Sus scrofa: one gene and its partners. The protein of the gene in region 1 interacts with the protein of each later gene in a pairwise test. Links are inferred from orthologs where the notes say so. Each region holds a gene or a part of one and is shown in the gene's direction. Other genes may lie near its edges. The genes, in order: BHLHE40, COX5B, RHOBTB3, AES, NAA50, SMYD1 and STK19.

What was found.
Region 2: the proteins of BHLHE40 (region 1) and COX5B interact in binary tests that used the Homo sapiens proteins (3 or more experiments, as listed by UniProt). The two-hybrid records come from large-scale screens. The link is inferred for Sus scrofa from reciprocal best matches to the Homo sapiens genes BHLHE40 and COX5B.
Region 3: the proteins of BHLHE40 (region 1) and RHOBTB3 interact in binary tests that used the Homo sapiens proteins (3 or more experiments, as listed by UniProt). The two-hybrid records come from large-scale screens. The link is inferred for Sus scrofa from reciprocal best matches to the Homo sapiens genes BHLHE40 and RHOBTB3.
Region 4: the proteins of BHLHE40 (region 1) and AES interact in binary tests that used the Homo sapiens proteins (3 or more experiments, as listed by UniProt). The two-hybrid records come from large-scale screens. The link is inferred for Sus scrofa from reciprocal best matches to the Homo sapiens genes BHLHE40 and TLE5.
Region 5: the proteins of BHLHE40 (region 1) and NAA50 interact in binary tests that used the Homo sapiens proteins (3 or more experiments, as listed by UniProt). The two-hybrid records come from large-scale screens. The link is inferred for Sus scrofa from reciprocal best matches to the Homo sapiens genes BHLHE40 and NAA50.
Region 6: the proteins of BHLHE40 (region 1) and SMYD1 interact in binary tests that used the Homo sapiens proteins (3 or more experiments, as listed by UniProt). The link is inferred for Sus scrofa from reciprocal best matches to the Homo sapiens genes BHLHE40 and SMYD1.
Region 7: the proteins of BHLHE40 (region 1) and STK19 interact in a two-hybrid assay, tested with the Homo sapiens proteins (2 studies listed by BioGRID). The two-hybrid records come from large-scale screens. The link is inferred for Sus scrofa from reciprocal best matches to the Homo sapiens genes BHLHE40 and WHR1.

What each region holds. Positions count from the first base shown.
Region 1 is NC_010455.5:61,526,609-61,530,811, forward strand, and holds the start of BHLHE40 (class E basic helix-loop-helix protein 40), read left to right. Parts: upstream 1-1,403; 5' UTR 1,404-1,669; coding exon 1,670-1,749; exon of another isoform or gene 1,750-1,909; intron 1,910-1,915; coding exon 1,916-1,985; intron 1,986-2,055; exon of another isoform or gene 2,056-2,230; intron 2,231-2,236; coding exon 2,237-2,344; intron 2,345-3,278; coding exon 3,279-3,402; intron 3,403-4,203. UniProt on the Homo sapiens protein: Transcriptional repressor involved in the regulation of the circadian rhythm by negatively regulating the activity of the clock genes and clock-controlled genes.
Region 2 is NC_010445.4:56,629,797-56,633,241, reverse strand, and holds COX5B (cytochrome c oxidase subunit 5B, mitochondrial precursor), read left to right. Parts: upstream 1-1,134; 5' UTR 1,135-1,149; coding exon 1,150-1,252; intron 1,253-1,789; coding exon 1,790-1,863; intron 1,864-2,035; coding exon 2,036-2,135; intron 2,136-2,752; coding exon 2,753-2,865; 3' UTR 2,866-2,945; downstream 2,946-3,445. UniProt on the Homo sapiens protein: Component of the cytochrome c oxidase, the last enzyme in the mitochondrial electron transport chain which drives oxidative phosphorylation.
Region 3 is NC_010444.4:102,383,247-102,386,746, forward strand, and holds part of RHOBTB3 (rho-related BTB domain-containing protein 3), read left to right. Parts: intron 1-70; coding exon 71-237; intron 238-3,500. UniProt on the Homo sapiens protein: Rab9-regulated ATPase required for endosome to Golgi transport. Involved in transport vesicle docking at the Golgi complex, possibly by participating in release M6PRBP1/TIP47 from vesicles to permit their efficient docking and fusion at the Golgi.
Region 4 is NC_010444.4:75,490,794-75,495,007, forward strand, and holds the start of AES (amino-terminal enhancer of split), read left to right. Parts: upstream 1-1,414; 5' UTR 1,415-1,588; coding exon 1,589-1,615; intron 1,616-2,749; coding exon 2,750-2,847; intron 2,848-4,214. UniProt on the Homo sapiens protein: Transcriptional corepressor. Acts as a dominant repressor towards other family members. Inhibits NF-kappa-B-regulated gene expression. May be required for the initiation and maintenance of the differentiated state.
Region 5 is NC_010455.5:146,210,218-146,213,192, forward strand, and holds part of NAA50 (N-alpha-acetyltransferase 50), read left to right. Parts: intron 1-855; coding exon 856-992; intron 993-1,768; coding exon 1,769-1,888; intron 1,889-2,312; coding exon 2,313-2,379; intron 2,380-2,975. UniProt on the Homo sapiens protein: N-alpha-acetyltransferase that acetylates the N-terminus of proteins that retain their initiating methionine. Has a broad substrate specificity: able to acetylate the initiator methionine of most peptides, except for those with a proline in second position.
Region 6 is NC_010445.4:57,915,777-57,919,845, reverse strand, and holds the start of SMYD1 (histone-lysine N-methyltransferase SMYD1), read left to right. Parts: upstream 1-1,269; 5' UTR 1,270-1,363; coding exon 1,364-1,500; intron 1,501-4,069. UniProt on the Homo sapiens protein: Methylates histone H3 at 'Lys-4' (H3K4me), seems able to perform both mono-, di-, and trimethylation. Acts as a transcriptional repressor. Essential for cardiomyocyte differentiation and cardiac morphogenesis.
Region 7 is NC_010449.5:24,058,995-24,063,025, forward strand, and holds the start of STK19 (serine/threonine-protein kinase 19), read left to right. Parts: upstream 1-1,231; 5' UTR 1,232-1,276; coding exon 1,277-1,376; intron 1,377-1,523; coding exon 1,524-1,660; intron 1,661-4,031. Other genes in the region: DXO (decapping and exoribonuclease protein), read right to left, coding at 1-10, 173-528. UniProt on the Homo sapiens protein: DNA-binding protein which is required for efficient transcription-coupled nucleotide excision repair (TC-NER). Acts as part of a TC-NER complex which assembles and interacts with RNA polymerase II (RNAPII) when it stalls at DNA lesions.

The sequences.
Region 1 (4,203 bases):
GTGTGTCTAGCAACGGGGACAATGCCTGGCACAGGGTAGGGAAGTCAACAAATGCGTGTAGAATGAATGAATGCTAAGATGTCACTGTGAAGGGCAGATAGTTTTTCCTAGTCTCTCTCCCTTTCCTCCATCTCCGGGTGAGGATCCCACACGGCACCGCCGAAGTTCCCGGAGGGAGGGAGACGGCAGACTCCGGCGGGCCACACCGGCCCGGGGCTCTCCGTCCCCCGGTCTGGGCAGAGGGGCTCGAAGTCGGGGACGCTGCGGCCCGAGCTCCGGCCACGTGAAGTGTCACGCCCCGCGCTGCTGCAGGGCAGGCGCCGCCGCCACGGTTGTGTAACGTTGCAGCCCGAGGGGAGGCGACCCGAGCGCCTCCGCTCCGGTGGGGGCAGAGAAGGGAGGGAACGCAGGGCTCCGCGCCGGGTATCTTTCTGTGCTTGACTAGTCCAAGGCGCGCGGGGGGGGGGTACTCTGGAGCACCCTGGGGGGTGGGCAAGTGGGTGCCCGCCAGCGCTCAGGCTGTGCCCGGGAGCGGAACTCCGGGGGAGCCAGGGGCCCGCCGCACGCAGCCTCTCGGATCAGGTGCGCAGAGCGTGCTCGGCGGCGGCCTCGGCTGCCCCTGCGCTTGGCTGCCAGCCCGCTTCCCATGGGGTGACATCCGCCCCGCCCCTCGGCCCCTCCCCACGTCGGGCGATTCCTGGACTCTGGGCTGGAGGGTGGGGGCAGGGAAGCCGGCACCGAAAGAAACCCCAGCCCCTGGGGAAGGCAGGGGGGCCGGGCGACTCCCTCGGCTGAGCGCTGGTTCCTCCGAGCGGACCGCGCGGGGGGAGGAGGAAACGGGTTGGGCTGGAGCGAGCGAGGGGATATTCCTCTCCCGGCTTGAGTCAGAGGCGGGCGGATCCGTCCTCCCCCTTCCCTCCCAGGAGACGGGAACTTACTTCATTTCCCTGGGGCAGGTTCGCCCACGTTACCAACCTCCCCTCCCTGCCCCCCCCCCCCGGCTCCCCGGGCCCTTCCAGCTTCCGCGCCCCCCACCCGGCTGGGCAGGACCCAGGCCGCGCTGCCACCCCCTCTTCGGGGAAAGGCAGCCGCAGACACCTGGGGGCCGGAGCTGGGGGTGGGGGCTCCCTCGCAGCCGCGGGAGCGTTGTCCAACACGTGAGACTCATGTGATGAAGCCGGGGGAGGGCGGGCAGGTCGCTCCTTCCCTCCCCGGCAGCGGCCAGACGTGCCTGGAGTCACAGGGTAGAACACGTAGCTCCAACCCACCCACTCGCTCCCATTTAACCCAGCCCGCAGCCTCTCCATTACTCCTCGGCTCGTTCTCCCCCCACCCCCCCACTCCACCCTAACCGCCCCCCCCCCGCTCCCTCCCGCCTCCCCGCCCGCCCCACTTCTCATTCACTTGGCTCGCACAGCGCAGACGGCGCAGGGAGCACACATCGCCAGTCTGTGCGCAGAGCCTGAGCCAGAAGCCGCGGGGACACCATGCACGCCCCCAACTGAAGCAACACCTCAAAGCCGAAGCTCCGGGCAGCCGGAGGATTTCAGGGAGCTCAGACTCAGAGGAACTCCTGAGGAGAGACCCCTCGAAACCTCTCCAGGACAGTCCTCACCGGACTCTCTGCCACTGCAGACAGGAGCGCACAGTGGCCCCGGCTCGCCGCGCCATGGAGCGGATACCCAGCGCGCAGCCGCCCCCCGCTTGCCTGCCCAAAGCACCAGGACTGGAGCCTGGAGACCTACCAGGGTAAGTTGACACCCCCGGCCCCTTCAAGCCTCAACTCCAGTCCTGCGTTCTGAGCGACTTTCAACTCGGAATCGCTCTGGGCGCATATGCGGGTTCATGCCCGCCAGGGTTCCTGCAGCGGGTGCGCAGGCAAAGTCACGACCCTTCTTCGTCCCTCTCCCTGCAGGATGGATTTTGCCCACATGTATCAAGTGTACAAGTCGAGGCGGGGAATAAAGCGGAGCGAGGACAGCAAGGTAAGGGCCCCGGACCCCTGGGGACCCCAGCCCCTAGCACGCACTGAGTTCCCAAGAAAACTTTTCTCACTTTGAGGTTGGAGGGGGTATGCAAGGTGCGGGGTCCGTGCCTGGATGGCTTGGAGAAGAAGGTAGTTCTGGGTGTGACTCTGTTCATTTGCCCCTACTCTTCTCGCGCCGCGGGGTAAGGGAGGAAAAGGGCTTCTCATCCTCCTCCTCCGGAGCCCACCATTTCCCCGTGCGCCTTGCAGGAGACTTACAAACTGCCGCACCGGCTCATCGAGAAAAAGAGACGTGACCGGATTAACGAGTGCATCGCCCAGCTGAAGGATCTCCTCCCCGAACATCTCAAACTTACAGTAAGTGAGAAGCTGGCCCTTCTCCAAACCAGCTCCTTTGCCCAGAGGGCGGTCGGGGGTCACTCGCCGCCTGCAGGTCCCGCCGGGAACTGCAGGCCAGACGGCTGGATTCGAGCTGCTGGGTGGCTATTTGGGGTACACTTCCCCAGTCCTCAGAATTTTCTGGCAGCCTCATGCAAATAAGGTGAAAACCGTTTGTATTTCTCCAGTTGGCACCAACACCGGCTGGCCTTCCTTTGCAAGAGTTTAAGGCTCACCGTTCTGGTGATTTTCAAGGTTCTCTTGATTTCCTAACTTGAGCAAACCAAGCAACCTGCAATTTTTCTTAACCTCTTTCCTCCCCATCTCTTTTTAAAATGAGAGGACTTGTTTGGGTGTGTGATTTTTTTTTTTTTTTAAACATCCTGTCCTTTCTTGGCAATGGTCAACAGCTTACTAGCTTGACAGCCTTTGGTTGGGGAAAGGGAAAAAAAAAGAAGTATTTAGGGGGAAGAAAAAACTTAGATGAACTGGAAGTTATGACAGGGTGTCAGGAAAGAAACTAGGGAAAGCCTCTTGGCTGCCAGACACAGTAGAAGTCCTTCCTCGGGTTGACACCACTGCAGAGAAATGTAATCTTCGGATTCCCCTGAGTTAAGGTCAGCAGAGGCTGCTGGAAAAATTTATCTGTCAGAGCTTTCTCCTGAGGTAGCTGCTGCTTCCAAAATGCCTCCAAAGATGGGTGACACTCATTTGTTGTTTTTTAACTAGTTTTTTTTTAATAATTATATATATATATATTTTAAACATCTATAAACTTAAAATGAAATTTAGCCAACCAGGAAAGGTTGTTTTTGTTTTTTTTTCCCTTTAGAGACATCTCTCATTGCTAATAAGGGTCCCAGAGGTGGGACTTCTCTGAGCTCCCTGCTGACTGAGGCTCTTTTTATTCCAGACTTTGGGTCACTTGGAAAAAGCAGTGGTTCTTGAACTTACCTTGAAGCATGTGAAAGCACTAACGAACCTAATTGATCAGCAACAACAGAAAATCATTGCCCTGCAGAGCGGTTTGCAAGCTGGTGAGTTCCTGAGCCTGGCTATCTCCTAAGAGTTCTAGCACAAATGGAGAGCCTGTGGGCTCAACATCTGACATAAGAAACATTCCTGCAACAAACTGCTTATGCACATTCACTGGGGAAGATGCTGTTTTATCTTTCCTAAAAGGTCAGACTTTTCATTTGGGAGGCTGCTATGTGCCACCTGGCATGAATACGTATTAGTCAAACGGTAAAATATTTCTGTGGCATTTTGGCTTAAAGAGTTTCTAGGTTCTGGGAGTTTTCCCCCCCTTCCTTTCAAAATGCCAAGGCACCTATAATTTGCATCGTGGGTGTTTTACAGTTAGTCTTCTTAGCCCTGTTTCATTGGAGAATAAAATCATGGGTATGCCCCAGTGTTTTCCTGTGTCTCTACTTCCTTATCACATGGTGTGTGGTATGATCCTGGCAGGATGACAGCAGGAGTTTTTCCTGCATTTCATGTGGTTCCCTGAATAGCCACTAGGTATCTTGGTGAATTACACAATCTCACGAAACCACTGAAGTTTCATCATGTTTCTCCTGACTTCCAGAGAATCACAATCACCTTCCAGAGAATCACAATCACGTCTCGTCTCACTCTTTCCAGATAATATTGTACACACCAGGGAGAAATTCTTCTATCCAATCCCTCATTCCTTTCCTCTCTGCCCCTCTTTCCAAACTGTTATGATGAGAGTCACAAGAACCTAGCAGGTGCTTCTGCCAGTTTCCTTGTTGAAAATAAGAAGATGATCCTACCTAATTTCTTGGGGATCGTGGATAGAATACAGGGGAAAGACT
Region 2 (3,445 bases), on another chromosome or scaffold:
CTGTTGTGAAAGAATTTTCTACCCAATAGGGAAAAAGATGCTGCATGCAGCCAGTCTGTAACAGGGCTACACCGACAGCAGGAACTAGTTCCTAGGAGCCCATCCATACAAGGCAGCGTTTACAGAAACTTGCACACCTCAGCTTGCGGGGCAATGGGGGCGGCTACAGAAGACATTTTCAGCTTTTAGGAGTTCTCTTGTGGTGCAGCAGGTTAAGGACCGAGCAGTACTACTGCAGCAGCCTGGGTCGCTCCTTTGGCATGGGTTCCATCCCTGGCCGGGGAACTTCCACATGCTGTAGACCCGGGCCAAAACCAAAAAACAGGCCAAAAAGTTTTCAGTTTTAAACAAGAGAACTCGCCCCAGTACGTTCTGGAGCTGGAGCTCCATTTCCCGTCACCAACTCCGCTTCCTGCTTCCCTCCCTTAACTTCTTAATTAACAGCCTCCCAATGCAACCACCCCTTTACCTTACCCCATATCATCAAGGGCCTGGCTCCCAGGAAGGGCCCACAATTTGACCGTCCCTTCCCCTGCCACCCCAGCCTCGCCTCAGGCCTGAACCTCATCACCTCAAAACCACCGTAACAAGAAGCTGACGTTAGGACTGCGGGGAGCTCCTGCTCAAGTTCTCCTAGGCTGGGTTACAAGTTCGCAGTGGCTCACAAACGGCCAGGTGAACCAGCACCACAACTAGCCTACTCCTAAATTTGGACCTTTTGGGATCCAGCAAGTATCTTGAGCGACGCAGGCTTAATGTTTTCCGTCAGCAGGCTCCACGTTTACTCGGCACAACTATCGGCTCCAGCGTGGTTTTCCATTGACCTGCGGGGCACTGAGTCCCACGGAAGTAAAACGAGTTGCACCAAATCCGAGCGTTACTAAAGGGCAAAGCCCCCAGAAGCCTGCAATTGAAACCGTGACCGCCTCCATGCCCTCGGGGCTGCAAGGCGGGGCAGTGAGGCACAGGTGCGCAAGCGCAGGCCTTGCCCCAACGCCCCCCCCGCCGCCCCGAGGAGTCACGTGAGGGGGGCGGTCTAGGGGCCGGAGGAAGCGGAAGGCGGACTCTGCGCAGAAAGCAGCCCTCCCCCGGAAGTCCCTGCACCTCAGGAGCCTGTTACCGGAAGTGCTGGTATTTGTAGCGGGCGTGATGGCTTCAAGGTTACTCCGTGGAGCTGGAGCGCTAGCCGCGCAGACCTTGAGGGCCCGAGGTCCCAATGGAGTCGCCGTTGTGCGGTCTATGGCATCTGGAGGTACTAGGCCCCCCCGGCGCGCCAGGGACCCGTGCCATTGCTCTCTCGGGGTGGTGGGGGCAGCGGGGCGGGGGACAGCCTTCAGTACCTCGCGGCCGCAGTGGCTGCCCCTTGGCCCCGAAGGCCTCAGGCTCCACAGGCGTCTCCCTGTTACCCTGGGCCGCCGTTGCTGCCGACCACCAGACTGACCCCGCTGCCAAAGAATCCTTAACTGAAATGCTAGATGACCTTGATGGGCAGGGATTGCAGCCAGGACATGGGGGGTGGGGCTAAGCCCCTCCTTAGACCCGCGCGTATCTCAAGTTGGATGTATTCCACTAGGACTCTGATTAACCTGCTTTTAGGAAAAAAATGTGTCGAAAAACGGCCTCCGTGGCCGAAGGAAGTGAAGATCACCCCATGTTGCCACTTTCGGGTATCATGACTCCGGTCTTTAGGGGACAATAAGCCCACTAAAACTATATGCAGCAGTTTGCGTATGTGCATTTTCCATCGTGATCATTTCAGACGACATGGTAATTACCATATTTTCTTCAGGTGGTGTTCCTACTGATGAGGAGCAGGCGACTGGGCTGGAGAGGGAGGTCATGATGGCCGCCCGCAAGGGACTGGTGAGGAGAAACTTTATATGTCTTCTTAGGAGTTTATGGTTTTGGATGGGATCAGAGTAGTCTCCTCTCTGGGCCTCACTGATCCTGGAAACCTGGCATGTGGGAACAATACCGCTAACCCCTAGAAGGTAGGAGTCATTTGGCATAATGGATTCTTATTTTGTCTTTTCAGGACCCATACAATATACTTGCCCCAAAGGCAGCCTCAGGTACCAAGGAAGACCCTAATTTAGTCCCCTCCATCACCAACAAGCGGATAGTGGGCTGCATCTGTAAGTACCTCAACACTATTTTCTTACCCATTTAATATAGCCCACTATACAGGTCTGTAAGCTCTTTCATATCTTGTGCTTTGTGTGTGTATAAATAAGTTGTTATAAGGGTCTTGGCCCTCTCATACCCCTCTGCTTGAGTAGGTGATCCTTACGGGAGAGAGGCCTGGAACATAAATAATATTGGTTCATTGAGAGTTCTTGTTGCGGCTTAGTGGGTTATGAACAAGACACTAATATCCATGAGGATGTGGGTTTGATCCCTGGCCTCGCTCAGTGGGTTAAGGATCTGGTGTTGGGGCTGTGGCATAGGCCAGCAGCTGCAGCTCTGATTTGACCCCTGGCCTGGGAACTTCTATATGCTGTTTTTATTAGGTGCAGCCCTAATAAAAAAAAAAAAAATAGCAAAAAAGAAAAAAATACTGCCTTATTGGAAAGGCAGTATGAGGAAGGAGTATTCATCTAGAAAGTGTTTATTGTATTTCTCCTTTGCTAGACACCCTGTTAGGCAGTGTCAGCCATAATTTTGTGTCTCAGAGGTGTCTGAAGAGAAGAGATTAATGTTGAAAGTCCCCTCTTCTAGGCTGGATAGCTTTCAACCACCTATGTTCTTTCAGGTGAAGAAGACAACAGTACTGTCATCTGGTTCTGGGTGCACAAAGGCGAGACCCAGCGATGCCCCAGCTGTGGAACCCATTATAAGCTGGTGTCGCACCAGCTGGCCCACTGAGCCCCTGCACTAACACACTCAAGATGCGCTGGCAAGTTTCTTCCAATAAAGACTAGCCATTACACTGGCTCCTCCTCCCATGGCTGGCTGGTCTTCTTTCTTTCCTGTATTTCTAGAAGGGTATGGGTAATTCTTATATCAGAGGTAGTTGTCTATTCGTATTAGCTTGCCATCCACTGTGTACACTGAGATTACCAATCCCTAATGCAGTGATAGGAACCACCTGGCAAGGGGCAAACCGGCTGTGGAAGCAGGCTGGCTGGACTTGTAGAACTGGCTCCACTCCATCATTTAGCTTTATCACTGGGGACATGTTCTCTGGGATGGATCACATTAAAAAAAAGAAAGAAAAAAAGAAAGGATAAGTATCTTGTAAGGTTGTAGGAGTATATAAAGAGCCTGGCAGATAGGTCCTTATGCTGTTCTAAAGACAGAGTGGCCTTGTGAGGAGAGTTTTGGCTTTGAAGTCTTAAGGGACCCAGGTTTAAAGCATAGTTCATGAGGATGCCATCAGCAAAATCTAGAATATGGGACAGTTCTAGAAACCAGCAACCAGTTTCTTCAAATAAACTATAGGGAG
Region 3 (3,500 bases), on another chromosome or scaffold:
TGTTTTGTTTTTAGATGGTAAAAGAAATGGTTTTATTGTCCATTTTCTTTTATTTCTTTTCTTGCATCAGCTGGCATTTTCCAGGCAATGTGTCTCCTGATCTGTGCAGAGATGTACCAGGTATCCAGACTGCAGCACATCTGTGAGCTGTTCATCATTACACAGCTGCAAAGCATGCCAAGCAGGGAACTGGCATCGATGAACCTCGATATAGTTGATCTGCTCAAAAAAGCCAAGGTAATTGGCCCTATATCTGGTTGTTGGATTAAAAAAAAAAATTACAAAAATGATGTTACTGTAAAATTTTTTCTGTTTATTAAGAGATATATTAGTGCTTGTCTTAGTTTAGAAATTTGACTAAATGAGGTAAATGTGCCCTCACAGCAATTTCTGCTGTTAGGTAATTTCGAAGCATGGGGTTTTGGGGCCATCCCTTTCTAAGGAGGTAGGATTTACCAATATGGAATTTTCTCAACTGAAGGGTAGCTCTCATTAGAGTCAGTGCTGTATTGTTTCATATAGGCATTATAGGAAATAGAATTTACATTGAAATTCCCTCAGTTGTTTACCTCTTAAGGTTCCTGAAAGGAGAATAATGAGATTAGTCCATACATACTGATAGAGATGGTTAGGCTGAACTCATTTATCTGTTCATCCATACACTTATTTAGCCAACATGTTTTGAAGTTCTTCTGCTTGGTTGTAGGAGATATTGGTGTATTTCATCAGTTTTTTCAAACACCTTTTGTTGAAATGTCGCCTTGTATGAGGAGTTAGTCTATATTCCATTCCCTGCCCTAAGACAGTTTTAGGGCTTTGCAGTGGTCATAGCATTAAAGCTGAACCTTCTAAGTCTTTTTCACAGGAATATGTTTGATCCACCATTACAAACCATTAGGATTTTGTAAATATTATCTGGCATACAACGTATTGGCTGTTCCTATAAGCTCTTGCATCCAGAAGAGGAAGATATGACAAATTTGCCTTTATCCACATTGCTAAAACAGAGCCATATAATGGGGCAGAGGACAGACTCTGACAGCTAAAAGCTTGCCTCCAGGCTGAGATGAATTCATTAATCAGTATACCTACTTCTGAGCATGGAAGGGAATTCATTTAAAGCATCCAGGTCTTCTTTTATGGTCTCCTAGCTTTTTTGGAGTTTATTTCTCTCATAATCAAGTCTACAGATCCTGTGTATTTAATATTAGGGGAAAAGCAAATTTAAAAAATTTGAGTAACTGATCTCTCTTTGTAATAAATTTACATTAAGCTTGGGATTAGTAGCTTTCCTCTAGATTTAGTTTAAAAATTTAAAATTTTTTCCTAGCATTTTCACAACCTCAGTTCATTTTTGATGTATCATTTTCATACTTTCTTTTTTCTTTTTTTTTTGTGTGTGTGTCTTTTTGCCATTTCTTGGGCTGCTCCCGTGGCATATGGAGGTTCCCTGGCTAGGGGTCTAATCGGAGCTGTAGCTACCGGCCTACGCCAGAGCCACAGCAACGCAGGATCCAAGCCTCGTCTGCAACCTACACCACAGCTCACGGCAACACCGGATCCTTAACCCACTGAGCAAGGGCAGGGATCGAACCCGCAACCTCATGGTTCCTAGTTGGATTCATTAACTACTGCGCCACGACAGGAACTCCTCATTTTCATACTTTCTAACAAGTCTGTCATACTTTTAAAAAATGAGCACAAGTTTCTCTTTCTTTAGCTTATAGTATCCTTTTAAATATTTCATGCATAAGAGAACTCCCTGCATGGTTGCAATAATCTCTTGAACTGCCCCCCCCAACACATACAGACACACCCAGCACCCCCACACCATTCCCCATCAGCATCATTTATAATTGTATTGTCAGAAATTCTTCCTGACTTGTTTTCCTGAATCTGAAATGTGTGAGTATCCTTATTTTTTCCTTTAAATTTTAGAAGTCTAAGATACTACCTGTTCTTGAATTTTACTATTGGTTTCTGAAAACTTTTCTATTTGCTAAGATTCAGCCTACATTTATCAGTTTTCCTTTAGTCTATTCCTGATGGTCCCTACTTTGCAAATTATGAATCACAGAAACAGGATAATTTTCTTCCTATTTCTCTTCGAAGCTCTCAGGTTGAGGTTCCACTTCACCAGCCAGTTCATCTGTTTGTCGGACTTTAGTCAACCTTTCCTTCATTGCTTCTCTGACTTCTAGGAGGTGAAATTGCCTTTTGGCAGAATTAGACTTACAGTAGCCCTCTGAATAACTGAAATTTCCAATCACTCTATCATCTCTGCCAGCTTTGTATTGAGTATCAGGAAAGCATCATTGATACCTTTGATATAACTAAGTAGTTGAGGTATTCTCTCACTTCTGCTGGAACTTGCCCTAACTTCTCTCAATTCTTTATTGTGAGTCTACCTTCAGGTTTGTATATTTCCATCAAGTTGGAATCTTAGCATAAACAGAGGCCTTTTCCCCTTAAACAGATCAGTTCCTTACTCCCCTTTAAACCTTATCTTGGCAAACTTTGGTGATTCCTATGAAGTCCTGTTTACTCTAAATCATATTAAAATTTTAAGTTCAACTTCTTACTTAGAATCTGTGCATTAATATTTGGCTGCTTCAGGCCCCAAATTTGCTTCTGACCTTTTCCTTGTGAGTTTCTGGGTACTGTCTCCACGATTATTATTCTTCACAGAGCTGTTAGATGCTGCAGTATTTGGTTTAAAGCTTTTTTTAAATGTCTTTTTAAATTCTTTTGTTTATTTCAGCTTAAACCACTTTCTCAAGACAGTGAAAATTCTTCCAAAAATGTAATTTTTCCAGTGAAAGGCATTCCATCTCTTGCCAAGAGCCCACAGTTATGAAATCTTAAGTCTTGTTCAAAATAAAATTCTACATTTGATCTACTTTTTCATAGCCAGCTATTCATTTCTGTGATCTCCTTCCTCTTTCAAAGTCACAGCCCTCAGGCAGTGTTGTGAACATCTTTTGGTAGGTTTTCTCCTCTGAGTTAGCCATCTAGTTCCTCTGGTGGCTTCTGTTAAAAATAGCTACATATTCCTGCTCTTGAGATCACTCAAACATTTGTCTGCTAAAACATAAAGTGAAAAAAGATTGTTAAAATGTGATATGCTGTTAGATGAACTCTTACAATTAAAATTATGATTTTGTATAATGAAAATCAGAGAGACCTATAAAATTTACATGTTAAAATATTCCCACAGTATAACTTTTTAAAAGAATAATCCTTGAGTTTTACAAATTTTTCTTCAAATTATCTGTATTTATTTGCTTCTATAGTATTTTTTTTTTTTTTTTTTTTTTTTTTGTTGTTGTTGTTGCTATTTTGGCGCTCCGGCATATAGGTTCCAGCTATGAATCAGAGCTGTACCACAGCTACGCGCTTCTATAGTATTTTTAAGTGTCCTTAAAAGAGCTATATTTAGGAATTCCATTGTGGCTCTGCGGGCTAAGAACCTGACTAGTATCTATGAGGTGTGGATTCAA
Region 4 (4,214 bases), on another chromosome or scaffold:
ACGGTCCTAAGTCTCCATTTTACAAATGGGAAAACCCAAGGCTGGAAGAATTTAAATTCATCCAGGAGGCAAAGGTGCATAGTGGATGATGATGATGGTGACAATTAAGAGCCTATGTATTTAGCACTTCCTGGAACTTAATGTGCCTTATTTCTGGTTTCTTGGAGGCCTGCTCTCCACAGGAAAGGGAGAGAGATCCTATCAAAGTCCCCATCAGCCCTGTTTCTCCTCTGCCCACCATCTCACAGGGCTCCCATCTCACTCCGAGCAAGCCCAAATCCTCCCTGAGCCCACAAGGCCCTGCACCATCTGTCCCGCCTCATCACCAGCTACAGAATTTGCAGGCCCCAATGCAAAACAAGACCATTCAAAAATTATTAGGAATTTCCAGACCAACACAGCAGATCATCCACCCAAGCAGAGGCCCTTCTGGAAGCCAGGCCTCTGTGCAAATTCCAGAAGCTGCTAGCCCTGCCCCTCTGCTCCCTTTTCCTCTCAAGCACCCCACCCCCACCTGTGCTAGGCACAGTGCTGCCTCAGTACCTTTGCACTGGCTGTTTCTGCCTCCTAAAATAAGCGACCAACCCCATAGCCTACTGGCTCCCTCTCTCGTCTTCAGATCCGCTTAGCGGCCAAAGAGGTCCATCTGAGTTCCCTCTGTTTAAAATCACATCTTCCCGGCCCTCCCTCCTGCTTTCTTTTCTCTATAGCTGTTACCACCATCTGACCTGCCAGGGACCTGGCTCTTTGGCTGGTCTCTCTGTCTTCTGTCTTCTCCACCAGGGTAGGGACTCTGTACCCCCTCCCACCCCCACCTGGCACACAGTAGGCGCTCCATTAATGTGAGTCAAGGTATGGCTCCCAGGAGGTCGGCGGTATCATCCCCGCCTTTCTACGGAGGAGGAAACCGAGGCTCAGAGAAAAGCCAGTGAGCCAAGGTTACAGAGCATGTCCCTGGCACGCGTCCGGGTCGCGCCATGACAGCGCCGGCGGTTTCGATGGGGGCAGCCGGGCCCCAAGCTTTGACCGATGGGGAAACCGAGGCCCTGGCGGTTGCCGAGGCCACCCGGCCGGGAGGGGCCGCGGCGGGGCGGGGGCGCGCGGGCCCAAGGTCACCGCGCCGGCCGGCCCGGGGGAGGCGGATGGGTGGGGATCCGCGGGCCTCCCCGGGCGCGCGCCCCCCCCTCGGCGGCGCGCACGGGGCCCGGGAAGCAGCAGCGGCGGCGGCGGCGGCGGCGGCGACAGCAGCAGGTGGAGCCGGAGCCTCCGCGCAGCCGAGGCCGCGGCCACTGCCGGCGTCGCCGCCATTAGACAATAGGAGCGGCGGCCGGGCGTGCGGGGAGGCGGGCGGCGGGGAGGGGCGGGGAGGGGCGCCGGGCGCGCAGGAAGCGGGGCCCGGGGCGCGCCGGGGCCGGGCGCGCGGGGAGGGGGCGCAGGAAGCGGGCGAGGCCGGGCGCGGGAGGCGGCGGCGGCGGCCCCGGGAGCTGCCGATCGGCTCCGGGACAAAGGCGCGGCCGCCCGGCGCCCCGAGCAGCCCGAGTCGGGGCGCACAGCCGGGGCGCAGCCTGCGCCCCCCGCCGCGACTGACATGATGTTTCCACAAAGCAGGCATTCGGTAAGCGGGGCCCGTCGGCCCGGCGGCCCCCCCCCCCCCCGTCCGGGCCCGGCACCCCCGGTTCCCAGCCCAGCCACCCCCCCCAGCTCCGGGCCCTGCGTCCCCCTACGTCCTGGCCCGGTATCCCCAGTTCCCAGCCGGGGCTATTCCCTCCCCCAGGTTCGGGCCCTGCGTCCCTCCAGGTCGGGGCCCCGTACCCTCCCATATCCGAACCCAGCGCCCCCTCTAGGTCCAAGCCCTGCGACCCCCTTCCAGGTCCCTGCCAGGCCAACCCCCCGCCTCCAGCTCGGCACCTCCCCCCAACTCCTGGGCCCAGTCCCCTCCAGCTCTGGGCCCAGAGCTGCTCCCCCCCCGCAACCGCCGCCAGCTCCGGGTCCCCCTCCCAGCTTCCGGGCCCAGAGCCCCCCCAGGTCCCCTTTTGCCCCCAGCTCAGAGCACGCCCCAGACCCTGGACCCTGCGCACCCCCACCCCAAGCCAGGCTGGGCCTCGCTGGCCTTGGCCTGGGGCCTGGGGCGCCCCGGGAGCCCCACTAGGCACCTCTAACGCTGGGGCTGCTTTTGGGGCCTGGGAGTGGGGGAGAGTCAAGGCGCACCCCTCCCGGAAGAGCGCGCGGCCTGGAGGAAGGGTGCTAGGAATCTGGGGTGGGCCCCCGCACCCCCGGAAGATTTTGGGCGCTGAGAGCCCCCTCTCCCAAGGGGACTTTGCCAGGAAGCCTGCCCCCGCCTCCCAGCTTTGGGGAGGGGGATTCACTAGGACGCGTTCTCCCCCCTCCCTGAGGCAGTTGGGACGCTCAGACGTGCAACCCCTCCCGGCGCTGTGGAGGCGCGGTAGAGGGCGCACCCTACCCCCCACCAAGGGCGGCCCTTCAAATGCACCCCCACAGCCTGGGGGTGGAGGGGGACGAGCGGCTCCGGGAGCACCCACCCTCCTTAGCTTCTCGGGGAGAGGCGGGGGCAGGAAGCGAGGGCGGGGGCCGAGCCAGGGGCTGTAAACACAGCCAGGGAAGTGGGGCAGGGTGTGGGGGGACGCTGCAGCTGCGCAGGCCGCAGCCTGGTGGAGGGGGGGCGCCCTCAGGGAGGAAGGTGGGTGGCGGCCCCCTCCTGGTCCTGACCCGGGCCGCCCCCTCCCCACAGGGCTCGTCGCACCTACCCCAGCAACTCAAATTCACCACCTCGGACTCCTGCGACCGCATCAAAGATGAGTTTCAGCTCCTGCAGGCTCAGTACCACAGGTGAGCTGAGGGCTGGTGGTCCCTGCCCTGGGTGAAGGTGGAGCCCCCTGCTCAGAAGGCAAGACTGAGGCCTGGAGCTGAAGTTGTGGTCCCTGCTATACACACAGAATGGGGGGAAAAAATCGGTATTGAGTGTCTCATGTGGCAGACCAGGTCTCCAACACTTACGGATATTAAATTCATTTAGTCTTTAGGACAGTCCCATTTCATAGAGGAGAAAACTGAGGCACAAGAATTTAAATAATTTGCCCAAAGACTCAGCCGTCTGGTTTCCAAGCCCCTCTCCCCTCCCCCACCCCCACCCCAGACTGCGTTGGATAAAAGACCTCCCAAGAGCTGGAGTTGGGGGCTGGATCTTCCATCGCCCCACCCACCCCTCAAAAGAAAGTCTATAGCTTGTTATCTCTTTGCCTAGTTTTGGAGAAAAGGTTTCTGGCACCCAGCAGCAAGGCGATGCTCCCTCCAGAATTTAATCTAACATTTCTAAAGGGCTTGCCATGTGCCAGATCTAAGAAAAAGGAACTATTATTATCTTCATTTTACATTTAGGGAAACTTAAACCCAGAGGTGATAGGGGTTTCCTGGGGTTGCCCAGCAGGGAAGTGGCAAAATGAGATTCTCACACTCAGTTTCTGGGTTGAAGACTGCAAAGTCTCAAGCCTTAGCTCCGGAGGGGGTCTTTGCTTGAGAATCAGAAGGGGGTCCATGGCCACAGATACCAGTGGGGTCTTGGGCTTTCTCTGGACCTCAGTTTGGTCACACAAAAGTGTTCTATGAAGGATCCTGAGTTTTCTCCAAGAAGAGATAGGAATAGTGAGATCTGTTTTTCCTTTGGGGGTGTTCCTATCCTCCCCATTTGCCAAATACTGAACATACATCCTTTTATTGAATCTTCCCTGCTTTTTGATCATATGCCCATTTCAAAGTGAGGAAACTGAGGCAAGGTGGTTGAAGGGCAGGCCCGGGAGCTTTGTTCTGGTCCTGTGATGTGGAGGGTTTAGGAGCTTTGCTTGTCAGGCCTGGCCTTTCTGAGCCTCTCCAGGGGTCCTACCCTCCCTACCTGGCCCTTGCTCTCCTCTGATCCAATCTGGCTGGCCGATCTGACTCCAGAGACTGAGGGTCAGGTTGCTGCCTCATGCTGTGTGACCTCAGGTAGGCCAGGCCCCCTCTCTGAGCTTTGGAGTCACGATCCGCTGGGCCTGGGCTTCCTGCTATACAGCGAGGAGTCCTACTGTGTTGGGGACTGGTACAGTATCTGCCAGTCCCTCAGGAAGGGCCAGAAATGCAGTTTGGAATGAAACTGCCTTTTTTTTTTTTTTTTAACAGTGGCAGCAACTGTACATTTTTAAAGAAAATTAGAGAAGCCA
Region 5 (2,975 bases), about 85 Mb from region 1:
TCTGATGTGTGTGGTTCCTATGTCAAATGAATAGGATATGCAAGATTTTTGCACATTTAGATTATTTTCATGGAATAACTTCCTAGAGTGGGGTTACTTGGACAAATACAATTTTTAGGTTTTTAGTACCTAGTGCTAGATTGTCTTCCAGAGATACTGTGTGTATGTACATCCTTGTTAGGGTGTAAAAATCTTACTTGCCACCCCTTTGCCAATTAGGTAAGGTGTCATCAATCTTTTTTGAGCAGTAATAAATGTCTTTAAATTTTCCTGAAAATTTTGGTATTTATGTAGAATATTCTGGCCTTTTTAGTAATTGTTATTTACTGTATTTAGACATTATAATTGTATACTCCAAATGTAAACAATTGTATGAAAGCTAGAGTTGGGATCTAGGTCGAATGACTGGAAAAATCTGCTTAAAAAATGGTGAACTAGGAGTTTCTGTCATGGCTCAGTGGTTAACGAATCTGACGAGGAACCAGGAGGTTTCAGGTTCAATCCCTGGCCTTGCTCAATGGGTTAAGGATCTGGCGTCGCCGTGAGCTATGTTGTGCTGTAGATCGCAGTCGCGGCTCGGATCTCACATTGCTGTGGCTCTGGCATAGGCTGACAGCTACAGCTCCAATTAGATCCCTAGCCTGAGAAACTCCATATGCTGCAGGAGTGGCCCTAGAAAAACGCAAAACGACAAAAAAAAAAAAAAAAAAAGTGAACTTCATAGAAATGTAAGGTGACTCATGAAAAGAGATGGATTTATCAGTCATCTAAAAAAGACTTGGTATGCTTTTAATATGTCCATCTTAACAGATGAAGCTAATTATATTTTATTGAGTACATTTTGGTTTGTTCCAGTAGCCGGATCGAGCTGGGAGATGTGACACCACACAATATTAAACAGTTGAAGAGATTAAACCAGGTCATCTTTCCAGTCAGCTACAATGACAAGTTCTACAAGGATGTGCTGGAGGTTGGCGAGCTAGCAAAACTTGGTATGATAATGGTTTTTCTTTTCTGTTCTTTTTCTCGCTGCACCCATGGCTTATGGAAAGTTCCTAGGGTAGGGATCCAACCCATGCCACTGCAGTGACAATGCCAGATCCTTAATCCATGATGTGGTTTTTCTTCTTCCCTTCATTTGTTTATTCATGTTCTTGATCCCTAGTTTTTAATATCAGCTGGAAAGAAAAAGTTAACTGATATAATTTCCTGTTTTACAAGTGAGGAAATGGGAATGATGCAAGTTCTGAAAAAAATAGAGATAAAAGACTTGAATTTTAAAAGGAAATGCTAAATATTTTTTTTAATTTAGGATTGCCTGTGTTTTTTCACATATTTAGTTTTACTCAAAAGGGGACTTAAATTCTTAAGAAGGTATAGGATGTTTTGTATTGGTTTGGTTTTTGGTGTTTTTTTTTTTTTTTCTTCCCCCTTTTGGCTGCCTCATGGCATATGAAGTTTCCAGACCAGGAATCAGATCTGAGCTGCATATGCAGCAACGCCAGATCCTTTAACCTACTGTGCCAGGCCAGGATCAAACCTGCATTCTGGTGCTGCAGAGATGCAGCTGATCCCGCTGTGCCACATGGGAACTCCAAGAAGATACAGGATGTTTTTGAGGCTGTTGATACTCAGAGAGGCTGATTAGAAAATTTAATGAGATTCGGTGATGAATAGCGATTTAGTCCTTGTGTAAGGGGATGGAAAGATTCAGTAAAATGTGTTATTCTGTCTGTTAAACTTTGTATCTTTATATTTTCCGTGGCAGCCTATTTCAATGATATTGCAGTAGGTGCGGTGTGCTGTAGGGTGGATCATTCACAGAATCAGAAGAGACTTTACATCATGACACTAGGATGTCTGGCTCCATACCGAAGGCTAGGAATAGGTAAAATTATTTGTGGTTTTTGTCTGTCATCGTCTTTAAATAAGCACAAATACATTGTTACTGTTCCTGACCCAGTAAGTCAAACTATTTCTTCTAGGAATACTGGGAAAAGGTTACTGAATTATATAAAATAAGGTGGAAAAGAGCTATTTACTTATTGGCATAATTCAGTTGAAAGCACTCTATGGATTTGTTATTAATATCCCTGTTGCTTTTTCTGTTTTTCTTCTCCCTGTAAGGGCTGTATGTGAAGATTGATTTTCTGCTAATGGTTTTAAACATAGTAGGTAGTATAGAGAAAACAAAATTTTGCAAAATCAGCATATCTAGACTTTAACTCAAATTCTGTTAGGAATCAATAAGATGTATAATTTAAAGATTGATTTTTATGAGATTACTTATTTGTTATTTGTCTTGTTAATAGGAACTAAAATGTTAAATCATGTCTTAAACATCTGTGAAAAAGATGGCACTTTTGACAACATCTATCTGTAAGTAAAGTCATTAAATGTTCTTATCTAAAGATTTAATGAATTGACAATAGAAATCTTTACTAGAAATTTAAAATCTTGTCATTTATTGTCTTTCGGAAACACCACGGAAGTAGTAGTTGTGAAGTTTGTTTTGTTTTAATTATAGATAAGGAATCGGAAATGAAACATTCTTGTTTGCTTCATTACATTGGAATGGGAGCTTCAAAGTCAAAGATGTGAAACCAAGATTAAAACTCAGGTCTTAAGAATTTAAGAAATTAATATCATTAATATTACATTTCTCATGCTATCTGTTTGCATTCTTGAGTTTTGTTCAAGGCTCCCAGTGACATGCTCATTAGTAGTATAATTTAATAATCAAAATTGGAGAGTACCTAGCTGATTGATACTTGGATTGTAAGAGACATCAGAGCCAAGGCTAAGATCACAACTATGGAGCTTTATAATACAAGTATTAATAAGATTACTTTCATTTCACTTTGGCAATGGGAAAGATTAAATTATATAATACTATTTTGAAGAATAAAAAATAACAAATTGATTATTTTCAGAATCTAGTGTGTTTTTTATTAATCAGAGATATATTCAGGCAT
Region 6 (4,069 bases), on another chromosome or scaffold:
GCAGAAGATTCTGCAGCTGCTTCCAGAAGTCAAGGCAGTTTCAGGAGATGCAATTTGGTTGAAGGCACATTAGAATCGCTAGTGTATCTGGATGGTTTAGGGAAGATAAAGTGACTGAATACATAAAATATGGAAAAAGTCCCATTCAAAGTGCCGAAAGGTATGCTACTTCCTTGGTGCCTATTACTTCATTTACCAGTGAAACTATCCCCCTTGTTTTGTAACTAGGATATCAAAGTTGTCCCTGTAGGCTCAAAATTTAAATGCAGATTTAGCTGACACAGAAGCCAGCACTTACAAGCTACTGCACTCACAGAAATCCAGAGCACAGAAATCTGTAAATAGATGCATCCCAGAAACTAAAAATATTACCTGAAAGGTAAGCCACAGCTCCAGATCTGCAAGAGTCTTTCTTTTCAACCTCAGTGAGAGCTGCCTGGCCTTCAAGACAAGTGGCTTTTAGTTCAAGGGAGATTTTGCAATAATCCATCCAATATCCAATTACTATTTTTCTGGCAACAAACACATGTTTAAGGGAGATTTGATAGCCTGAGAGACAGGAGAGTGTTCATTGTCAAGGCCTGCCTGCTCTCATAATATAGCTTTCATCTAGCACATACGTGTTATCAGGGAATTCTCAGTCCTCCAGGCCCTGGATGGAGGTGCTGTGGGAGGCCCAGGTTATACTGGGGAAGAGGGATGCCCATTAGAACCTAAACGTACTGTTATGCACATAGCCCAGAGGCCACTTTTGCATCTGCTGCTTTCTGCAAACAGTCCACCCATGTGGATTTGCTCTGGTGCCTGGGGCGGGGGCGGGCGGGGGGGGGGGAACAAGGGGCCCGTCTCACTTGAGAAAGTCCAAGCCTGACAGCTGAAGGGTCCCAGAACAGTAAGCATCACCTCGCCTCTTCTCTTGGACCACTTCAGCTGTCTGCTTTGGATTGACACAGGCATCTGGCTGCTAAAAATACCCGACTGACCAAGTGCCGCCTATTCCAACTCAAGCTGAGCATGACTGCCATCCAGGACTTAACTACCCTTGCAAAAGAACTTTTCAAAAGTTTTCAGACCCAATATGAGAAGCACACCAACCCATAATCATTTTCTATGTTGTCGGTTACATTGGGCGGTGCGAGGGACCCTTCCCAGATCACTGGCCTCTGGCTTGCCCCATCCCTGTCTCCAAGAATAGAGGCAGAGGGGGAGGTGGGGACCCAGTGGCTGAGAGGGGGTAGGGAAGGGGAGGTGCTTGTCCATTTATAGGCTTGCTCTTTGGGATGCTGAAGGTGCTGAAATAGCAGCGAGGACAAGGGACTTGGCTCAGTGTTAAATATCTGCCGAGCTGCCCTAAGATTCTGAGATGACAATAGAGAGAATGGAGAATGTGGAGGTCATTACTTCTGAGGGCAAAGGCAGAGGTCTGAAGGCCACCAAGGAGTTCTGGGCTGCTGATGTCATCTTCGCTGAGCGGGCTTACTCTGCCGTGGTTTTTGACAGGTACAGAATGTGGGTGGTTGCCCTCTTTTCTCCTGTTGGTTTGGCTGTTGCCACATTCTCAAATATTTTGCTCTCAAAATCATCAGAGCAAGGGATAAAATCCATGGGGCCATTGATAAGGAATGGCATTCCAACAGCTAACTGTTTTCTTGTGTAACTTTTCCTGCAAAGAGTCACTGCCAGTGGGATTTGCTCTGGTGCCTGGGGTGGGGTTGCAAAGGTGATCAAAGGCTTGGGGGCAAGTGCTCAGAGCACTGGTGAACTTGGCTGAGTGGGAGTGCTGTGTGTGGTGAGGTTGGAGAGAAAGGGAGAGGTGGGTGTGGTGCCTTGAAATCTTTTCCAGAGGGCTCCATGTTTTTTAGCTTCTGAGATAAAATAAACATATTAGAGAAGTAAGTGAGTCCTGGGATTTTAAAAACATGTAAATATGCAAGTACTCCTGGAGTCCATTTGCTTTTGAAAATAGGAGTATCACCCATGAACGGGAATCCTCTTTTACCTTTCCCACCCAGAAACCCAGTCCCCTCTGTCTTTCCTCAGAGGTAATCCTTCTTGTGATTTTAATGATTCTTTCTAGAATATTCTTGTTCTATTGCATCTATCTGTCTATATCTGTACTTACCAAATATATAGCTGTAATTTGTCTTTTTTTAACAGAAATGTTATCATACTTCAGACATCATTCTGAAACATACTGTTTTCACTAAGCATGTTTTGATACTTATCCATGTGGAAACTGTAAGTTTATAGACACTTCTTTTAAATCGTCAAAGATCTGTTTTTTCCTCCCACGTGTAGATCTATCCATGTTGATCCATACGCTCTATGGATCACAAATTTTAACTTCTGTAGATATTCTTCCCTGTAAATATATGGTCTTTAAGAAATCTGTTGCCCTATTGAGAAACATTTGGTGGTCTCCATTTTTTTTCATAAAAACAAATATTTCTGCAGTTAAAATCCTCGATCATGTCCACTTGTACTCATGCGTGATAATTCTCTAGGATGAATGGCTAAAAGAGGAATCACTCTGCCATAGGGTGTACTTTTTTCCATTTTAATAGGATCTCCTTAGTGGGTCTGTTAAATTTACATTCTCATTTCCTCACAATCCTGTCCATCCTTGACCCAAACTTTCAAATTAGTACTAAATCTCTATTTTTCTTTTTTTTTTTTTTAGAAAAAACCTTATACTGTGATGAAATTATAACAGTATTCTCAAAAGTTGGGGTGGCCTGCCTGACATTGATGTAGTCTCAATAAAGATGGCCTCTGATCTTGGCTTCGTGACCATCCTGAGAATGGGCAAAGGTTTTCAGAGATAATTTGAGCAGCATTTGAATTCTCATTTCTTCCTACCTATGAAGACCTTCAGGGAGAAGGCAGCTGATACCAGCTGAGGAATATAAAGCAGCTGAGAGGACAGTAATACCTCTTGGGGGAGTGGGTCTTACCTTATTTATTTATTTATTTTCATCTTTTTAGGGCTGCACCCATGGCATATGGAAGTTCCCAGACCAGGGGTCCAATCGGAGCTGCAGCTGCCAGCCTATAGCCACAGCCACAGCAACGCCAGATCAGAGCAGCATCTGCGAATCTACAGTGCAGCTCACAGCAATGCTGGATCCTTAACCCACTGAGCAGGGCCAGGGATTGACCCTGCATCCTCATGAATCTTAGTCAGATTTTTTTTTTTTTTTTTTTTTTACCACTGAGACGCAATGGGAACTCTGGGTCTTACTTTGTTAATGTAATTGTGTGTGTGTGTATGTGTGTGTGTGTGCGTGTGTCTGTTGGGGGTGGATGAGGAGTTAGTGGCATCCAAAATTAAGACATAAAAAGCTGGAAACACAGGGTAGTTCCCATTGTGGCTCAGTAGTAAGGAACCTGCCTAATGCCATGAGGATTCGGGTTCTATCTCTGGCCTCACTCAGTGGGTAAAGGATCCGGTGTTGCTGTGAACTGTGGTGTAAGTTGCAGATGTGGCTCGGGTCTGGTGTTGTTGTGGCTGTGGTGTAGCCTGGCAGCTGCAGCTCCGATTTGACCCCTGGTCTGGGAACTTCCATGTGCCACATGGCCCTAAAAAGGAAAAGGAAAAAAAAATCTAGAAACACAGGAACCCTGAATAATCTTGGTGCTGCCACTGAGTTGCCACCTTGCCTTTTAAAGAACCTCCATGGGTTTCTGCAATTCCCTAAAAGCCAATATGGCCAATCAGTTTCTCCTTCACGACGGTTTGGAGTTGAGTGGGTTTTCCCTTCATTATAAAAGTCAAATTTAGGAAGAAAAAAAGGTATCTTCACACCAAGATAACTCAACCTTGTTGATTGTCTCCTGCTTATTTTACAACACAGGGTTCATTTGTTTGTACTACAGGCTTGTATATTATTATATATAAACTACCATTTTTTTAATGGCTGCACCTGCAGTATATGGAAGTTACCCAGGCCAGGGATCAAACCTGTGCTTCCCCAGAGACTAGAGCCACTGCAGTTGGATTCCTAACTGACTGTGCCACAGTGAGAACTCCAAACTATCATGGGTTTTTCATTTAATGATTTAGATGTCT
Region 7 (4,031 bases), on another chromosome or scaffold:
GCTGGGACCCCTGAGAGGGAGGGATTAGGGGCTGAAGATCTGACGCAAGCATTCGCGCTATGGTGCCCCCAAAGAATAGCTTAAGGACTGGCCTCTCTCCAGCTTGGGCTCTCCCAATTTCAGAGGGCAGGTGCAGGTCTCTAGAGCTACTTGTGTGCCATGCTTTGCTCACCCCTCCAGCTGGCCTCGGTGCTCCAGGAGCCAGCGCAGCAGGTGGTCCAGTCTCTCTTGGACCTCTTCATCCCGGGTCTGGTATCGATCAGGGTATCCATCTCTGAGGTCAAAGTTGGGGCTCTGACCGTTGGTGGGAGGTGGACTGTAGTAGCGCAAGGCTCGAGCATCTCCATGGTACTGGCGTTGTGTATCCAGGGAGAAGCAGCCCAGTTCAGAAGGGCGCCGGTAGAAAGGAAAGGGCCCAGAGTAGAGGGCAGGGTCTGTGGGCAGTGAGGGTGCTGGGCGAGGGAGTTTGTTGCAGGGCTCAGCTACTCTTATCTTTGCAGCTCCTCTCTTGGTCCCTCTGGGCTCCATGCAGACCTGAGAGAGGGTGGGGAAGTTCCCTTTTTAAAGAGGAGGGCTGGAAAAGGAGGATTTCAGGTCAGGACTAAGCAAGCTTACTGATGGCCAGGCTCTGGCCTTGAAAAGTGCAGGCCCCATGTCCTCAAATACGGCCACCACCAGGTGCACATTTCACCTTTCCCCTTGACTTACACCCCTATCCCCAGGTCCTCCAAGCCCAGAGAGGTTAGGAAGTACCTTTGGCCTCGTATCTGGCTGGTTATGTCAGGTCTCACCAACATCGACTTACACCTTCGCAGAGCTATGACGTCATGGCAGGTACATCAGAAGTCGAAGAGGGATGCAAAAATGGTCTTCCCGGCTCTCGATGACGCAATTTATTCAGCGACAGTGGCGGGCAAACCCCTCTGGGATGGGGGCCTGTGTGCTGGACAGCAGGAGGCAGATCACAACGTGGCCACCGGTACCCCTCCCGCACTGCCCTGGCGTCCCCGGAAGTGGGCGCTCTCGGAGGAAGCCAATCAGCAGCGGACGTGGGGCCTCGGCCAATGCAGTTGGTGCCGGTATCCGCATTGGCACTGCCCCTCCCAGCCCGAGGGATGACAGGTTGACGGCTCTTTCGTCACCACGTCGTCCTGTAACACTGGGCTGACTGGCCTCCAAGGAGGGACGCTCTACGTCACTGCTCTGCGCCGGAAGACTTTTCGTGTTCTTCTCCTTCAGCATCTACCTCTTCCCCGGCACCTTAAGATCCCGGGATATGAGCCGGAAGAGGCATCGCCTGGTCCCAGAGACCCTTGGACTGAAGAGACCGCGAGAAAGACGGGATGTAGAGGCAGATCCTTTGCGCGGCGAGTCAGGTAACCATGGCAACCCCAGGGCGAGACTAGGGACTTCAGCTGGGAGCGGCCTCGCCTCTGGTAACCCTGTGTGGTGGGACCCAGCGTACATCCGCTCCCCCGCCCCGGTCCCAGTTAACGTCTCAGTGACCAGGTCTTTCCGCCCAGGATCTGCGCGCGCGGCAGTCGCGGAGCTAGTGCGGCTGTTCCCGCGAGTCCTGTTTGAGGATGCGCTACCGCCCATCGTGCTGAGGAACCAGGTGTACAGTCTCGTGCCGGACCGGACGGTGGCTGACCGGCAGCTGGTGAGGGGCGTCAGAGCGACCGACGGAGGGCGCTTCCCTGCCTCGCGGGCACTTCCGAGGTTCCCCATCATTCAGTTCGCCCACCACCTATTCTGCCTTTCAGCAAGCATTGGGTCTTTCTGGGCCAAGCATTGTGCCAGCCAGGGAGGAGGCTACAGAGCCTCAGGCAACAGAGAGCATGCCAAATCATGAGTGTGGAAGAGTGAAGCTTTGGGAGAGACTGAGTCACCGGGCATGGTTCGAACCTACAGCGCTGAGAATGCAGGCAGACATTAGATTAGGACAGGCTTTGTACATCAGTGTCGTTTCGGTCTTACATTGAAAGCGGTGATCTGGCGGGGACTGTTAAATAGGAGAGAGAAGGGTGTGTTGCATGGATTGGAGGGAGTAGGCGAGGTAGGGAGATCGATTGGAAAGATATTTACATCTGAGAACTGGTGAAGGCCTAAATTAGGGTGAGGATGGGTGAGGAATGTGGAGAGCGGGAAGAAGAAGGAAAAACTCTTCGATTTTCTGGATGGCCGAGTGGTTGGTGGAGCAAAGGGACTAGGAGAACATTGGTGGCAGATGATGTCTTTAATTGCGTACAGGTTGAGTGGAGGTACTTGTGGAACATCCAGATGCAAATGTGCGGCAGACAGTTGGATGAGGGTTTGGAGAGAGTTCTGGGCCACTAATGCAGAATTGGAAGTCATGGAGATGTGCGCAGTGGTTCAGTCTGTAGAAGTGGGTGAAAATGGCAGGAAGAGGGAGGAGAGGAGTGGTTTGTAACCTTTTTACAAACTTTAGAAGATAATAAGAGCTATGTCTCTCTCTCCAGAAAAATGCATATACATTACATATATATAAGGTATATAGACAGTTTTGGAGGGGAGAGAGTTTCACAGATCCTCTGCAGCCCAAAGTTAAGGACCCCAGGTTTGCAATGAAAGATAATAGAGCCAAATCCCCAATGCTGGGAGGAACCAACCCTTAAGGCAGTGGTTCCCGAGGTATGTCCTGAGTTCTGCCTGACCCTGAAAATTACCTGGCCTCTTTATTCAAAAATACAGGTTCCTGGAACTCACTCAATGATAATGAATTAAGATTTCTTGGGGTAGAACCTGGGAATCTACTTTTTTTTTTTTAGGGCTGCACCTGCAGCATATGGAAATTCCTGGGCTAGGGGTCAAATCGGAGCTGCAGCTGCTGGCCTACACCACAGCCACAGAAATGCTGCATCTGAACCTTGTCTGCAACCTACACTGCAGCTCACAGCAATGCCGGATTCTTAACCCACTGAGTGAGCCCAGGGATCTAACCCCCATCCTTATGGATACTAGTTGGGTTTGTAACCTGCTGAGCCATGACAGGAATTCCGGAATCTACATTTTTAAGCTACTGCCCCAAGTGATTCTTTTTTATTGTGGAAGTGCCAGGCCAGGGAGTGAACCCTCGCCACGGCAGTGACCTGGACCAAGGCAGTGACAATGCCAGATCCTGAAACCCACTGCACCACAGGAGAATGCCCCAATTGATTCTTAATGTGCCTTAAAATTTGAAATCCACTGTTGCAAGAGGAAAGCAGCGGAAGAGGAGTCTGTGAAAGAGGTTGAGAAGGAATTGCCAGAGTTAGGAAGAACCCACGAAAAGGCCTTTTGAGAAAGTAGAGATTTTCAAGAAGGTGGAGTAGTTGGTCGTGTTAGAACCTGTGATTCCAGGCAGTGGTCTTCGAAGAGGTCAAGTGAAATGATATGCACATGGATTTAGCGGTTGGGAGGTTAGCATACACTCTCTCAGGAAGAAAAGGAGGGAGAGAAGGAAGATGGAGACTAGCTCCAGTCTCTTAAGAAAGGGACCCACACCCACTCCTTAGAGCATTGTTGTTTTTAACCTACTGGTGTTAGCTTGATTTTAGAAGAGCTTTTAAAATTGCACAAAACAATATAGAAACACACAATTTAAAGAATGTTTATAATGCACATGCCCACTTAACTGTGACCCAGGTCAGATTGTCACACACAGCCAAAGCCCACGTATATTGCTCTGTCCCTGGCAGGTCACATGCTTGGCTGGTATGATAGTCATTACCTCGGTTTTCTTTCTACCATCTACGTGTTTATCCATTAACAACATATTTTAGTTTTGCTCACTTTTAAACTTGATTCAAACAGAACTATACCATGTGTTTTTGTTTATATCTTATTTCATTAGATGAATTTTTTTTTTTTTTTTTTTGTCTTTTTGCTGTTTCTTTGGACCACTCCACGGCATATGGAGGTTCCCAGGCTAGGGGTCGAATCGGAGCTGTAGCCACTGGCCTGCGCCAGAGCCACAGCAACGCAGGATCTGAGCTGCGTCTGCAACCTACACCTACATGGCAATGCCGGAT